Linked DNA regions of Lepisosteus oculatus. The protein of the gene in region 2 purifies or fractionates together with the protein of the main gene of each other region. This does not show direct contact. Links are inferred from orthologs where the notes say so. Each region holds a gene or a part of one and is shown on either strand. Other genes may lie near its edges.

What was found.
Region 1: the proteins of cops3 (region 2) and btbd2a purify together in Homo sapiens (affinity purification with mass spectrometry; 3 studies listed by BioGRID and IntAct, counting the BioPlex papers as one, with this or other methods). This does not show direct contact. The link is inferred for Lepisosteus oculatus from reciprocal best matches to the Homo sapiens genes COPS3 and BTBD2.

Annotation. Positions count from the first base shown.
Region 1 is NC_090724.1:9,090,333-9,098,290, forward strand, and holds the start of btbd2a (BTB/POZ domain-containing protein 2), read left to right. Parts: upstream 1-4,943; 5' UTR 4,944-5,135; coding exon 5,136-5,677; intron 5,678-6,083; coding exon 6,084-6,203; intron 6,204-7,067; coding exon 7,068-7,224; intron 7,225-7,958. Other genes in the region: hmg20b (SWI/SNF-related matrix-associated actin-dependent regulator of chromatin subfamily E member 1-related), read right to left, coding at 1,747-1,950, 2,025-2,175, 2,320-2,360.
Region 2 is NC_090714.1:4,819,439-4,827,428, reverse strand, and holds the start of cops3 (COP9 signalosome complex subunit 3), read left to right. Parts: upstream 1-4,978; 5' UTR 4,979-5,094; coding exon 5,095-5,149; intron 5,150-6,561; coding exon 6,562-6,691; intron 6,692-7,385; coding exon 7,386-7,498; intron 7,499-7,594; coding exon 7,595-7,644; intron 7,645-7,898; coding exon 7,899-7,990. Other genes in the region: 5'(3')-deoxyribonucleotidase, mitochondrial, read right to left, coding at 130-190, 840-940, 3,398-3,676. UniProt on the Homo sapiens protein: Component of the COP9 signalosome complex (CSN), a complex involved in various cellular and developmental processes.

The DNA.
Region 1 (7,958 bases), on a different chromosome or scaffold from region 2:
GCAGAACCTGGCACTGCTGGAGCAGTACTGATAGACCTTCGTCTTCCTGACAGGCAATCTGGACAAGACCAGAATCATGGTTTTCTACAAGAAGGCTCTACAACATCAGCTCCCCTATAAAGATTTTGCTGCAAATATTCGAAAGTGTAATCCAACCAATTGTAATACAAGGCAGTGAGGTGTGGGGTCTCCTCATAGACCAGGAGTACACTTAATGGGACAAACACTCCATAGAAACTCTGCACATGGAGATCTGTAGAAACATCATCCATGTGCAGAGAAAAAAAAAGAGTAATAAAGTATTGGTAATACTTAAAAAGCAGCAACCAAAACCCCTACCACCACAAGGCCCTGCTGAGCCAAGAGCTGAGCCCAACAAAGAGCCTCCTGAGCCAGCTGGTCCTGAGGCTCACTGGCCTGAGCCACACCGACACCAGCCAGCCTCAGGACAGCACTGCTAGAGCATCACAACTCAGACCCAAGCACATCACAGCACAGATCAAACAGCAATATCTCACACACTGGGACACTCGCACACAAACTGGAATGCTACAGAATCCAAAATAGACAATACATGCTACCTGAATATTTGACCAACATAAGTAATGGCAAAATGAAACAGACCCTGACGAAGTACAGGCTCAGTGACCACAGCCTGGCCATAGAAACTGGGTGACACAGGCAGACCTGGCTGCCCAGAGAGGACAGGCTGTGCTCCTACTGCCAGCGGGGAGAAACAGAGACAGAGATGCACTTCCAACTGCACTGTGACAGATACTCTGGGATTAGAGAAACAGTCTTCCCTAAATTTACAAATCTAATCCCAAAATTCTCATAACTGCCACAATCACAACAACTCCCGATCCTACTGGGAGAGGGAGGAGGGAACTCAGTTGAACTGGAAGACCAGTGTGTGATCTCGTCACACCCTGAGGAACAGTGAGCCTGTCTCCCAATAATGCTCCATATATTTATATGTAAATATATTATGATTGTATCTGCATTGGAAATGTCTGTAATTGTCTGTAGACTTTATGTTAATTTTATTTTGCTTTGGCTACACTGATTTTAGTCATTGGTCATGCCAACAAAGCATCTTGAATGGAAATTGAATTGAGAGACAAAGACCAAAGACAGCGCAGAGCACAGCCAGAGACAGAGACCAGAAACTGCACAGAGCATAGCCAGAGACGCAGAGCAGACCCAGAGACCAGAGAGACCAGAACCAGCACAGAGCACAGCCAGAGAGACCAGAGACCAGAGACCGCGCAGAGCACAACCAGAGAGACAGACGATGTAGACAGAGACCAGAGACAGACCAGAGCACAGCCAGAGAGATAGAGATCAGACACACAGAGAGAGCACAGACAGACACGCAGAGAGAGACAGAGACAGCACAGAATACAGCCAGAGAGCAACCAGAGAGACAGACCGAGGGAGACAGAGACCAGAGACAGAGCAGAGCACAACCAGAGAGACAGACCGAGGGAGACAGAGACCAGAGACAGAGCAGAGCACAACCAGAGAGACAGACCGAGGGAGACAGAGACCAGAGACAGAGCAGAGCACAGCCAGAGAGATAGAGATCAGACACACACAGAGAGAGACAGAGACACACAGAGAGAGACAGAGACAGCACAGAATACAGCCAGAGAGATAGAGATCAGACACACACAGAGAGAGACAGAGACACACAGAGACAGCTCAGCTCAGCCGCCCCGCGTGGCGCCCCGCCCGCACGCTCACCTGCTTCTCCTGGGGGGCCAGGCGGCTCCACTCGGCGCCCAGCCTCTTGGTGATCTCGGGGAAGGGCAGGTCGGGGTGCTGCGCCCGGATCTGCTCGCGCCGCTCGTTCAGGAAGCGCACGTACCCCGTCACCGGCGCCTTCGGCCCGTTCGGCAGCACCTTCTTCCTCTTCTTGCCCTTGGGCCAGCCACGCTTCTTCACGGGCTGGGGGGGGAGAGAGGGGTCAGCGTGTCTGCCCCGGGGCGGTCAGTCGCGCGCGCCCGGCCGGCCGTCCTGACCTCCTCCTCGGGGGCGCGGCCCGGCTGGCCGGCGGCTGGTCCCTCGCTTTCGGGGGGGTTGTGGGCACGATGGGTCCCCACCTCCGTCTGCTCCAGCTTCACCCCGCCAGCGATAAACACCCCCCCGTTCATGGCAGAGCTCCGCGAGGGGCTGGGGAAGAAGGATTACCAGCTGAGACACAGCTGAGGATCTGAAATGACTCAACCCAAGGAAGAGACAGAGCTGCCCCTGCCCCCAGCCCAAGTTCTTACCCCACCTTTGCCCCAACTCCTGCCCCTGCCCCTGTGTACTCACTCAGTGGCGCCGCCCTGCTGGTGCTTAGTGTTCTGAGACATCCCTGCACCTGCCTGGAGAGAACAGACACAGTCACAAACACAGAGCCCCCCACACACACACCCCACTCAGGGACAGTCAGGCCAGAACACGGAGCTGCCGGACGGACCCCCGACCGCCAGAGGTGAGGAGGTCAGACCCGCACAGTCCGCTCCCTCCGTCCACAGAACAGCGCCCGACCAGCAAACACCCCAATTTCAAACAACATCGCGACTGCGCCCCCAACGGTTCCGCGCTGGTCCCAATTATAATAATTCAGGTAGACAAGGTACAGAGGTTCAAATATGAAAGGCAGAATCCACCACGAACTTGTTATATAGCTAAAATATAAATCAAAAATATAAATTAGTCACAGCAGCTTGTATCTTTTTTTCTCCGTCTGCTACAGCACGGCCCCCCTCACGGTGGAGTTAAAATAACCAGGCTTTTAACAAAAGAGCGCATAATCCTACGCTTCGTCCATCTCTCACGGCTAAAACCGAACCTGTGGGGCCCTACAGCGGGTCTCGGCTCTGCCGCTCGAAGTTTTAGAGTTTTCTATGGCGAAACCACGTTTTTTTCCACACAGATAATTCAATAAAACACGGTGAAAAAAACTTCACAGTTACCTCTCGACAACCCACAGCTTCTCGCTATCCGCCCTCTCAACCAAACTCCGGGAAGGCAATTATCATACCGCCCTGAGCCATTCCATTGGCTCTTCCGGATATCCGAAACTCTGATTGGCTCTGGGGGTTCGCGGGAGGCGGGGTGTCTGCTTCTTATAAAAAGTTATCGGGAAGCCTGGATTGGGCAAGCGCGATAAAGCACGCGTTCTATTGGGTTATATGGGTGTCAGTCACGGAAGCGGTTCACCATATAGTTTGTCGGTTTTGTTTTGGGTCTTGAGAATTGCGAAATGTGATTTTATAACATACATTTTTACATTAAATAGGATTTCAACTTCTCAAGGTTCTCAATTCTAATATTTAAATCTGAGATTTGCTTGAAACAAAGTCAATAAAACTTTTCTAAGAGTTAAATGTATCTATACATTTTTGTTTTCACGTGAAACAAAACGGTAATATTTTAGCCCCACTTTACATATACAATGTATATATTATCCAGTATATAAATATGTCCACAATTCCAGTCCTGGAGAGGTCAGTGTGTCTGCAGGCTGTCCAGTCCTGGTCCTGGAGGGTCAGTGTGTCTGCAGGGTTCTCCAGTCCTGGTCCTGGAGGGTCAGTGTATCTGCAGGGTGTCCAGTCCTGGTTCTGGAGGGGTCAGTGTGTCTGCAGGGTGTCCAGTTCTGCTATTGGAGGGGTCAGTGTGTCTGCAGGCTGTCCAGTCCTGGTCCTGGAGGGTCAGTGTGTCTGCAGGGTGTCCAGTCCTGGTCCTGGAGGGGTCAGCATGTCTGCAGGCTGTCCAGTCTTGGTCCTGGAGGGTCAGTGTGTCTGCAGGGTGTCCAGTCCTGCTATTGGAGGGGTCAGTGTGTCTGCAGGCTGTCCAGTCCTGGTCCTGAAGGGTCAGTGTGTCTGCAGGCTGTCCAGTCTTGGTCCTGGAGGGCCAGTGTGTCTGCAGGGTTCTACAGTCCTGGTCCTGGAGGGGTCGGTGAGTCTGCAGGCTGTCCAGTCTTGGTCCTGGAGGGTCAGTGTGTCTGCAGGGTGTCCAGTCCTGCTATTGGAGGGGTCAGTGTGTCTGCAGGCTGTCCAGTCTTGGTCCTGGAGGGTCAGTGTGTCTGCAGGGTGTCCAGTCCTGCTATTGGAGGGGTCAGTGTGTCTGCAGGCTGTCCAGTCTTGGTCCTGGAGGGTCAGTGTGTCTGCAGGGTGTCCAGTCCTGGTCCTGGAGGGGTCAGTGTGTCTGCAGGCTGTCCAGTCTTGGTCCTGGAGGGTCAGTGTGTCTGCAGGGTTCTCCAGTCCTGCTATTGGAGGGGTCAGTGTGTCTGCAGGCTGTCCAGTCTTGGTCCTGGAGGGTCAGTGTGTCTGCAGGGTTCTCCAGTCCTGGTCCTGGAGGGGTCAGTGAGTCTGCAGTGTATCTGCAGGCTGTCCAGTCCACTAGGTGTCTAACATTGTGGACCCCTGCTCTGAACCCCAGGAGGGAGGCTGTGACTTGCCCCAGTCGGTGCTCTGGGGTGCTCTGCTGGGTGACTTGCCCCAGTCGGTGCTCTGCTGGGTGACTTGGCAGAGGGTTTGGCCTGGGGTGACCAGGCTGGCAGTGTGGGCTCAGCCACACCACTTCCCAGGATCCAGCCATTACAGTGCTCTTCCCTTAGATTCAGAACTGACCCTTCATTGTTCAGTCAACCCAGATTACTTCTGTAATTAAAGATTACCGAAGGACTTGCAAGGCTACCCAGGGCTCAGCAGGAGCTCCCTCGCTCTCCAGAGGAGTTGGGCCAGGGCAGGAGTGCTGTGTCACCACCATCCCACCCTCTTCAACTGTGCAGCCTGCTCCTGGCTTCCCTTCCAAAGCAACGTGTATTTTTAATCCTAAATTTGCTCTGAACATCGGGGTCACCAGACCTCTCTGTGGTACAGCCCGCTCCTGCCCTGATATCCGAGTCCACCGTCACTCCCGAGGTAACAACCTCTGCATAAAAATTACACGATGACGATGCAGAGCGTGAATTTGACAGGAGGGTGTTGTTGCACTAAACGCCGAGAAATATCTAATCTCATCAAACCAAGGCACGGCGTCTGGCTTGCGAGCAGAAACCTGGCCACCCCCCTAGCCCGCCGCTGTCCTCTCTCCCCGGCGATGCGCTCCGAGTCCGATCCCAGCCGTGCAGTGCGGCGATGCGCTGCTGCGCCTGTCTCTTCCATTCCAAGATGGCTGCGGGTGGGAGCGGCGGTGGAGCTCCGTGTCTGAATTTCTCCAACCCCGGACCCCTCGGCAACGTGCAGTCGAACAACAGCGCTCAGGCCTCGGCCAACAGCGCCGGGGCATCGCCGGGGCCTGCGGGAGGGGTGCAGGGAGCGGGCGGGCACTGCAATCCCCAGCCGGGCCCCGGCGCAGGCGGCGGTGCCGCAGTTGGCGCTACCCCGGCGACGCAGAACGCTTCCTCGCAGGGCGGCTCGGCTCAGAGCGCCGGCGCTGCGGCCGCGGCCGCCGGGGAGACGGCAGCCGCAGCCTCGGCCTCGGTCACGCCGTCCGCGCTGCCCTCGGCTCCTGCAGCGGCCGCCGCCGTGCTGGTGTACCGGGAGCCCGTGTACAACTGGCAGGCAACGAAGAGCACGGTGAAGGAGAGATTCGCCTTCTTGTTCAACAACGAAGTCCTGAGCGACGTGCATTTCTTGGTCGGGAAGGGCATGGGGGTACAGCGCATACCTGCGCACAGGTGAGCCGGCTGCGACATGCAGCACTGACGGTGACTGCGCTTTAAAAATATACTGTATGATTATCACGGCAAAACTCTGCGTCTTGCGTACGGATGTTTTGCTGTGATTATTGTGCGCAGTATTTTAGCTAAAGGACCGGACATTTCTTTTTAAAAGCGTGCCGTGCAGATCGTGTTGACAGTTATATACTATTATTATAAAGACTGCCTGTGTCCTGGGTGAGGACCATGCCGAGGTCTGTGCACACACGCAGACTCCAGGGCAGAAATAGTCCGAGCTGCAGGGGAGACTGTAGACAGTGGAGAATGAAATGAATGTCCGAAACAGGACCCGACCCGACCCGCTGTCAGGCGTGGCGCGTGTTTCTGCAGGACATGTCCGGATTCCCCTGTGTGTCTGTGGCAGGTTTGTGCTGGCCGTGGGCAGCGCCGTGTTTGATGCCATGTTCAACGGGGGAATGGCCACCACTTCAACGGAGATCGAGCTGCCGGACGTCGAACCCGCCGCCTTCCTAGCGCTACTAAAGTGAGACTCGGTCACACCAGCCCTCTCGCTGTCCGCCTGTCTGCCCCTGCGTCCCTGACTGTGTGTCTCTGCCCCTGCTCCTGCCCTTGTCTCTGCCCCTGCGTCCGTGACTGTGTGTCTCGCCCCCTGTGTGTCTCTGCCCCTGCGGCAGTGACTTTTGTGTCTTGCACCCTGTGTGTCTCTACCCTTGTGACAGTGACTGTTTCGCGCTCTGTGTGTCTCTGCCCCTGTGTCAGTGACTGTTTGTCTCACGACCTGTGTGTCTCTGCCCCTGCTCCAGCCCACGCCAGAGTCTCTGCCCCTCCCCTGCCCTTGTCTCTGTCTCTGTTTCTGCCCTTGCCCCTGCCCTTGTCTCTGCCCCTGCCCCTGCCCTTGTCTCTGTCTCTGCTCCTGCCCCTGCCCTTGTCTCTATCTCTGCCCCTGCCCCTGTCTTTCTCTCTGCTCCTGCCCCTGGCTCTGCTCCAGCTCACACTCCTGCCCCTGACCCTGGCCTTGAAGTCTAGAGCTCTAGTGTTATCCTCGCAGCACTGCGTGTACCAGGCGTGATCTCTGCGCTGCGTGTGCCAGGCGTGATCTCTGCGCTGCGTGTGCCAGGCGTGATCTCTGCGCTGCGTGTACCAGGCGTGATCTCTGCGCTGCGTGTACCAGACGTGATCTCTGCGCTGCGTGTGCCAGGCATGATCTCTGCGCTGCGTGTGCCAGGCATGATCTCTGCGCTATGTGTGCCAGGCATGATCTCTGCGCTGCCTGTGCCAGGCGTGATCTCTGCGCTGCCTGTGCCAGGCGTGATCTCTGCGCTGCGTGTGCCAGGCGTGTTCTCTGCTCTGGGTGATCCAAGTGTGTTTCCTGCGCTGTGTGTGCCAGGTTCCTGTACTCAGACGAGGTGCAGATCGGGCCGGAGACGGTGATGACAACACTCTACACGGCCAAGAAATACGCCGTGCCGGCGCTGGAGACTCACTGTGTGGAGTTCCTGAAGAAGAACCTGCGCGCCGACAACGCCTTCATGCTGCTCACGCAGGTACAGCACAGCGCGTGGCCCTCTGAGCGCCTGCATGGAATACGGTGAAACAGCAAGATTGTAGAATTCTCATTGTGGGGGGTTGTCCTCAACAGTTTGCACATCCCAGTTGAGGTTATTACAGAGATTTGTCCCAGTGCTCTCAGTGAGGGATCTCCTCCCTCAGTCCTGGATCTCCTGTGTGTGGCTGCAGAGCTTCTGCAGTCGATATTTGAGTGGCTCAGTGGCGGCAAACATGTCTGCACTTTGTTGTTGTTCTGATGTGGGCAGAGGCAGTGGCTGCTCGCTTAATTTTCGTAAACTTTAGTGGCTTTGCAGTCGGGCCTCAGTGCCCCGTTGCTCTGTGAGCACCGAGTCATGTCTTGGTGCCCCATTGCTCTGTGAGCACCGAGTCAATGTCTTGGTGCTCGTTTGCTCTGTGAGCACTCGGTCATGTCTTGGTGCCCCATTACTCTGTGAGAGCTGAGTCATGTCTTGGTGCCCCATTGCTCTGTGAGCGCCGAGTTGGGCCTCGGTGCTCTGTTGCTCTGTGAGCGCTGAGTCATGTCTTGGTGCCCCATTGCTCTGTGAGCGCCGAGTTGGGCCTCGGTGCTCTGTTGCTCTGTGAGCGCTGAGTCATGTCTTGGTGCCCCATTGCTCTGTGAGCGCTGAGTCATGTCTTGGTGCCCCATTGCTCTGTGAGCGCTGTGTCGGGGCCTCACTGCTGTGCCCCGTTCTGGTACCCCGTGTCGATG
Region 2 (7,990 bases):
ATTCTTATTTTGTGTGGCTTACAGTAATGCACCTAAAAAGGAAGAATTACAATAAATTTTATGCTGAAAAAATAAGGATGAGCATGCTTGATAGTACTAAAGGTGGAATACATACAAGGGTAAACGTACCTTTTCATAAGGACAGTGGTTGTAATTGTTAATTGGACTGGTGCAAATAAAAACATCTGTGCTGAAAAAGAATAAAATATACAATGTGTAAGAAATGAAACATCTGTCATCACTCTATGTGTTAAAATTAATTCAGCTACAAGAAAGAGAACCACTGCTTATAAGTTGGATGTCAGCTGTCCTGGAACAGACTTTTTTGGCTCAGAAACCCTGCTTACGTCATGATAATTAATGTCGCCGTCGAAAAAAAAACGAAACAAGGAACAATCGGGGCAGACAGGAAAGGACTGGAATTGACTTGGACCACCAGGACCACAACCCTCAACCCAACCCACACTTGGGCAAGGTACTTCACTGGTGGAGCCACTCATTGGGGCTTTGGGTAGCACACTTTGTGTAAAGGCAAATGCATGCCTAGGGTGTACAAGAGGAAAGGGACAGAGTTCCAAAAGAAAACACCTGCAACTTAATAAAAAACACACTTCACCATTTGACAGTTTGCAGGGCTTCAAACAGAGACCACACACGTTACTAGCCTGTAACAGACCTGACTTTCTTGGTACTGTAAGTGTCAGTGTACCTGCTGGAAGAAAAAACATCTTTCCTGATGATAGCTTAATAAATCTGTAGCAAGGACAAGTGATCCTTTCTTTTGACTTTCAGTGGATTTATGTATAGGGATCAAAAGCTTCATTAAAAAAAAGACTTACTTTTCAAGCTTGGACATCTCCTTCACAGCTACCACAGCACCGGGAAGAGGCTCCAGGTCTATAAAGAAGTTCTTAGTTTCCCATATGCTGATAGCCTTCTCCTGCAAACAATGAGGTCAACTCAGTGTCTATTTGCTAAATGTGACTGGCAGTATACAGGGCCCCTGTGGAAACCCTGTGAAACCCAGTACAAAATCTCAGGAGTTGACTTCTTAAAAAAACAAAACGCTAATGATTAAAAACCTGAGAAATTCCTAGGACGTCTCAAAAACAATCATTATTGCTGTGAAATAAATGTTTCAGGCCTGGAAACCTATTGATGCACAAAGCTTAAAAGAGAAATCAGATTCTAAACTGGTTTATTCATTGTTTCGGTTGTATCAAATGACACTAATTTAAACTCCCACCGAGACAACCTTGAAGATTGTTAATTGTTGCTACAGTATGTCCGTTAACTCTGTACGCCTTTCAAGTGCTAAGTACACTGAGGTATAAAACATCAAATCCCATGCGAGAGTCAGGATCTGTATTTAAAAATACACCTTTTTCCCCATAATAAAAACTAAATCGATGACCCTGTATAAACAAGGCTAATTTGTATTATCTGCTCACTTTCACTAAAAATCACATTTACCATGTCTTGATTTTTTTCATTCTAAATGAAACATATCATTAATGGGCCTACTGACTTTCACAGACACTACTGTACATCTGTTTACTAATAATGATAGTGATGGACGGATATTAACAGGACATTCCTGGTGCTGTTAATATCATTTTAGTACCAAACCAGAGACTGACAAGTCAGCTGTTCTGTCATAGAAGTATGATAATGACTTCTGTTATCAATTAAGATGTTCCTGATCTTTAATATTGAGGATTTGTGCAGCTGTTTTTTCTTCATAACAGAGACCTCTGCTGACTTAGGAAATAGCAGAGCAACTCCATTATTAGCACTGAGAAGACAGGCTAGGTTAATACTGTTGGCAGAGCTCTAAAGCAAAAGTCTCTTGATTATCACAAAGGACAACTTCTGATTTTTTCTCGGAATTAGTTGCCGAAACAGGTCAATACAACAAGACATCAGATTTTGTGCAGTTTTCTTTGTACAGTAAGTTTATTTCCCTCCCCCCCATCACCAAGATGGGTAGAAGGGATTCCTATTCCTGTATTTCACGTTTTACCATTGATATGCAACTATTTTTGTTCAAATATAATCTTGATTAAAAAGATACCATGGAGATGAAGATCACAGCAGAAGCGATACCTGTACAGTAAGAGGAACCAACCCTGGTCCTGAAGAGCTCTAGTCCAGCAAGGTTCCTAGGTAGCCATCAAACTAGCAGTTAAAAGATAGTTGTACGAAAAGGTTAATTTTGAAGTCCTTAGTCAGCTGCTTAGGGAGCTTGCTTGTTGAGAGTAGGCACAGCATCCTGAGAGGTTAGAGGGGTCAGAGGATTAACTCTGGGAGTGTATTCACCTGGCTTCATTTAAGGCCTAATGAGTCCATCGCGTTTTCTGGCCTTAAAAAAAAAAGTATTAAAGAATCAAACTTTTGCACATGCCTCATTACTCGTTTTATTTTTTTTTCGACCTGATAAAAGTAAGCAAACAAAAGAGTAATTGTGCATTAAAATGTGCAGAAATTGGTCACGTTTAGGTTTGTACCCTGCAGAGGTTGAAACATGCAATTTGATCAAAAACTTCGGCATACAACTATTTAAGTTACGCAGGTGATTTATTAAATTAGGTAATTTAGTGATCATTTTGGGCTGCGGTCCAAATATTCTTCAATCCTCAAAGCCCAGATATCTCAATTTAGCAGAATACTTTTTAAATTGATCACTGTGGATAACACTTGTTAATTCCTCTTTAGAAACTGCCGGTCCGTAAAATTAACTGGACTGGTGTTCTCCGGGACCAGGGTGTGGAGATTCCCGCTGTACAGCATAGAGCAAAACGACATTCAATGGAAGATAAGAATTGAGATCTCACATTAAGCACGTAATGTGTTGAAACTCAAATTAATCCTACCCATGCAGGTGACATGTAATCGCACACCTGTCTCTTATGTAAAACCCTTACTTAATTACTTCTGAAATACTTCACACTTTGCTTAAAGGAATGCTTAAGCGTGTTCTTTTTTTTATTATTTCGCCCTGAAAGACCTAAGAGACATTTTTAACACGAGACATTTTCTAAGGAGACTTTTTAGGGGAAGTAAGGTAAACAGAAATGAATTTCGAATAAAAAGCACTGCAGAAACACCAGGCGTGAGTTCACCAGTGCATGTCGTCACCTGCAGGAAATTCTTTGAACAAAGTTTCGGATTTCTTAGCCTGCTGAAATTTCACTTACCGAGTACCGATTTTAGCTCCGACTGCCAAGCTGAAACTGCCTCAGGCGTCTCATATACATGCTCAAAATATATATTTTTTTATTTTACGAAAATATATTCCATATATTTTCCTCCTGGTGCAAGCGTAACGACGTGTTAGTAATAAAAATACGAAATGATTTGGAAATACGTTACAAAACGTGCATTTATTCACACTTACGCAGAGATCGCTCCTCAGGTGTCCGTACTGGGTTGAGACCCAAAATCCCCTGCGATCCTCTAAAGTAATGTAAGGCTCGTTAGGATACCTGGCCCTGAATTTCTTTAAAAACCCTCCTTCGAAGTCTGCAATGACTCCATCCATATCCACTAAAACACGCAGCCTTTTAGGAAAGGAAACCGGCATCTTTTCTGCAGGACCAGCAAGCCACCTGAGCTGCGTAGGTTTCAGAACATGTTCCACCTTTCGCAAGGGTAAAATTCGAGGCAATAAAATCATGTTAATTATATATGTAAGGGGCAACGACAAGAGTGTCCAAAGGTCCACCTGGAGCCAACAAGCAAACCGCACAACTGCAAACACAATTGAGTTGCATTTAAATTGGGGGGTATACCTAAAACTTAAAAACCGAATGCAAAATATAGAAGGGCATAAACAGGTGTCGGTCTTTTTTCTTATGCGCAGCCCAGCGTTTTACACCTGCCTCCGGGACCTCTGCCAGCCCCGCTTGCATGTCTTCAAGGGGTGCTTGATTCGTACAAATACTTCAACTGGGCAAAATGGAGTTAATCTCGGCTAGTTCCCCACTGCCTGTCCGTGCCCCTCTCTGCACATGTGGCCTTCTTCACAACAGTGCAATTTATCTCTGGTAGCTAAGCAACTATTTCAAAGAGCCAGGCCCGCAGTAGTAAAATGCCATGCCGCCCACACACCCCGGACTGCAAACCAGTCCTGCCGCAGATCACTCCCTTTTGGGAAAAACAAACCCCACCTATAACCCGGTAGTACTAGCCTTCCCGTGTTTTGGCCTCCTTTCACTCTTAAAGGAAAACGTGACCGAAGAGAGATTAAAAAAAATAAATAAAACACGCCATAATGTCTCGGGCAGTAAAATAAGACATATAATGGAAATGTGTAAAAAAATTAATTGTTCAGCTTTTATAATTGTGAATTCCTCTGGTTGCGCAGTGTCTATTTCTGTATCAGTTTTAATATCTTGTCTCCTTTTTTTGTATTTCTGAGGTTTAAATAAAAATTTAAATCTAAGCAATAGATGTTGTCTATTTTGAACATTTATTCAATGCAGCTATAGAGGTTAAACAGGGTATTTACCTATTAAAAGCGCAACGTTAGCATTTCCCCAGGCCTTTCTGTATTGTGCTTTGCAACCGATAAGAAATGTTTTTACAGCAATTAAAAAAACACCCACACAGCCTCTGGGAACCTTCAATCCCCCAGCTAACTATGATTTTCCCAGGACAACATGATTTTCGCCACCATGGACCTGTAAAGACTTTCAAGATAAGGGAGTTCCAAGCTTTTGAAAAAGTTCTGTAAAGGAAATACTTTATTTGGGGAAATTTGACTTCCCAGATTTCAACAGCATTCGTGGTGCTGCTTGACTGTCATTGCGTTTCAATGCACAGACTTAAAAACAAAAGTTTTAACGAAAACGGTCGGCCGGTAAGGCTGGAGGGGAGCGACCGTTGGAGACGGAACGCGCTGGCGCCTGTACTGTAGCTTTAAGGGCGCGAGCGGCTCGTGCCCTGAAATCCCGGCAGCAGCGGCAGTCCTCGAGCCTCTCGCGATATTTCCCGTCAGTGGCGGCTCTGTGGGCCCCCTCACGCTGGGCTACTCCTGACATTTGAATGAGAACAGATTGAGAACGACAACCCCGAAAACGGCAGAAGGCAAGAATGGCTTCAGCTCTGGAGCAGTTCGTGAATAACGTTCGGCAGCTTTCGGCTCAGGGTAGGTACAGCGGCTGGCCTCCCACCCCCAGAAGCTGTTAGTAATTATTAATCCTTCAGCTGCAGCACGGAGCCTGCATTTTTTTTTTTAAAAAAATGCTTTATCATGTAAACAAGTCTGGCTTTTACGCGAGTCTCGCAGTCCTTTCCGTTTTCAGCTCTTGGCAAAGCTGTATTTTGAACGGGTGCATTAAAGCAAAGATAGACGCTTAACGACAAAACATGAAAAGGCAGTTTTGTTCCCCTTTTTCCTTGAGAAAATGTTTCTAACCGTATGTCGACAGGTAGTTCCTCCCAAGTGGGCTTTTATTGGATTAGCTGTCGAAAGCGCTGCTGTGATTGGTTGCTTGTCCTGTCACTTACCCGGTGGGGGGTTACTTCCGGTGATAAATGTGTGCAGGCCTCATGCTGGTTAATGTCATAACATACAGTACCTGTAACGCAGCTAAGGAGCAGCACTACAAATCGTACGTTTCTTTATAATTAAGATGATGAGGCGACCATTAAATACGCTATTTCCCGGTTACTAGGTTTATGTAAATGGTAACCTGTCCATCACAACCAGTGACAACCCAGTAAAACTAATTTACCAGTTTCAGGTCTGTACATGCAGGCATGTCATGTCATCAAACCTGCGCTATAAACAGATGCCATGTACCCATTTCTAGATGGCAGTTGTGTGTGTCTGAAAAAAATGAATCTGTGCTTTCTGTCTTCAAGAGGTTTTATTTGAAAGTGTCTCTAAATGTCACTAGAGAATGGTGCTGCGTTGATTAACAGGGGGTTTGATAAAGCCAGCACGTCCCCTGTTCTCTGTGATTTCGCTGTTGTGAAAGTAAAGCTGTCAGCATGTTCAGCACCTGCCGTAATGTTTAATTAAGATCACAATAAAAGGGAGTGTAAAATTTAGACAGGATTTTAAATCTAATTACCCGTGCTACTAAACCGCTATGAAGAAATGGGTACCTTATTTTGATTTGAATCTGGTATTAGCAGATGAGGCTGTGTTTTATCCTTTTCAGTACGTCCTGCAGTCGTTCACAGCTTTAAAACGGAGTGACATTTTCTCAAATTCTCTACATAAAAAAATCCGTAGCTTCTATATTAAGAGGCCGTAGCGTAGTTGGGAAGTGAGCAGAAATATTGTGCGATAACTAATTTCAAATCAAGAGGCTCTGTCCTTTCAACGTCCCCAAGCTCATGAATCGTGACCTGTCAATTGCACCCGGGAAGCATTTCATTTTGATTCGAGTTCCAACACAAATGTTAGAGCAAGCAAAACTGGCGCAAAGGTAAAAGTTCTGAAATTGATCCTATTTTTACAACAAGCACAAAACACCCCACGTCGTGCACTGAGCCCAAACGTGCTTTTCTGTGTAGAGTAATTTGGCGAATGTCGTGGATGTTTTTCAGGTCAGATGACACAACTGTGCGAATTGATAAATAAGAGCGGGGAGCTGCTGGCGAAAAACCTGTCCCATTTAGACACAGTTCTTGGGGCGCTGGACATACAGGAGCACTCGCTCGGTGTTCTTGCAGTCCTGTAAGTTTGCACTTCGACAATGACGCAGAGACGGGAATATTTTGTTTGATTTTCCTTTAAACGCCAATAGGACAATAAGTCCAAAAGGGAATAATTATCTGGGCAATAAGTGAGTTAGTTTAGAACCGGGATCTCAAATAGAAGAGTGTTCCAGGAGGGCCTAGTGCATTTTAGTTTTTGTTCCAATCGTCTCCACAGTTACATAGATGATCAAATTATTCAATTAGCTGCATAATTGTAATATAGTACTTCTAATCAGGCTGTGAGCTGATTTCTAGGTAACTATACCTGTAAGGACAGTAAAATATTTTGTGTATGTCTAATACACAATACACAATAGAAAATAATGAGGTTAATTGACTATATATTTTGGAACAAGAATAATAAGACGCAAGACCTTTGATGAACTTGGTTTGAGAGCACTGGCTGAAACTGAGTATTGACGATATTACGAAGACAAGTCTGTCTATGAAAGCAGCTCTGTGGGATTCAACAGGTCCCCAAGATGTGAATTGAAATTGATTCCAGTTTTGGATTTCTTTCATTTTAACTCCTAACAAGTCACACCTAAGGTATAGAATCTATTAGATGGCTTGCCTTTTTAATTGGCCCAGGTTCAATGTGAAGGCGGCTGAAACAGCCTTCAAACACGTTTTCCTGGTTTTGTGATTTTTCTTTTCCCTACGTGTTGCAGATTTGTCAAGTTTTCCATGCCAAACATCCCCGATTTTGAAACGCTATTCTCGCAGGTTCAGCTCTTCATCAGCACCTGCAATGGAGAGCACATCAGATATGCAACAGACACTTGTAAGTCTCTACATGTGCTTTAGATTAAGTGTTAGTCAGACTCTTCTAATTTTGTTCTAGTATGAGCCACGTTGTTCCTTTGTTTTTGTCTTGCAGTTGCTGGCCTCTGCCATCAGTTAACAAATGCTCTCGTAGAACGGAAACAGGTAAATCAGAAACGGATGAAGATGTATACAAAATATCACAAATGAGACAGCTTCATTAACATTGAAATTGAGCAACCTTTCTACAGGGCTGTTTATCCAGATATTAAAGCATGTATTAAACGCTTTTCGATATTATCACATTAGTACAAATTTATTTTAGATCATCTGTCCAAATGTTATTGCTCTTATGTGTTGTCCAAGTATACTGAAACTTTATTTAACACTTCTAACTTCATCTGTTTATTTCACCACAGCCACTAAGGGGAGTTGGCATTCTAAAGCAGGCAATAGATAAAATGCAGATGAACACAAACCAGCTTACCTCAATTCATGCAGACCTCTGTCA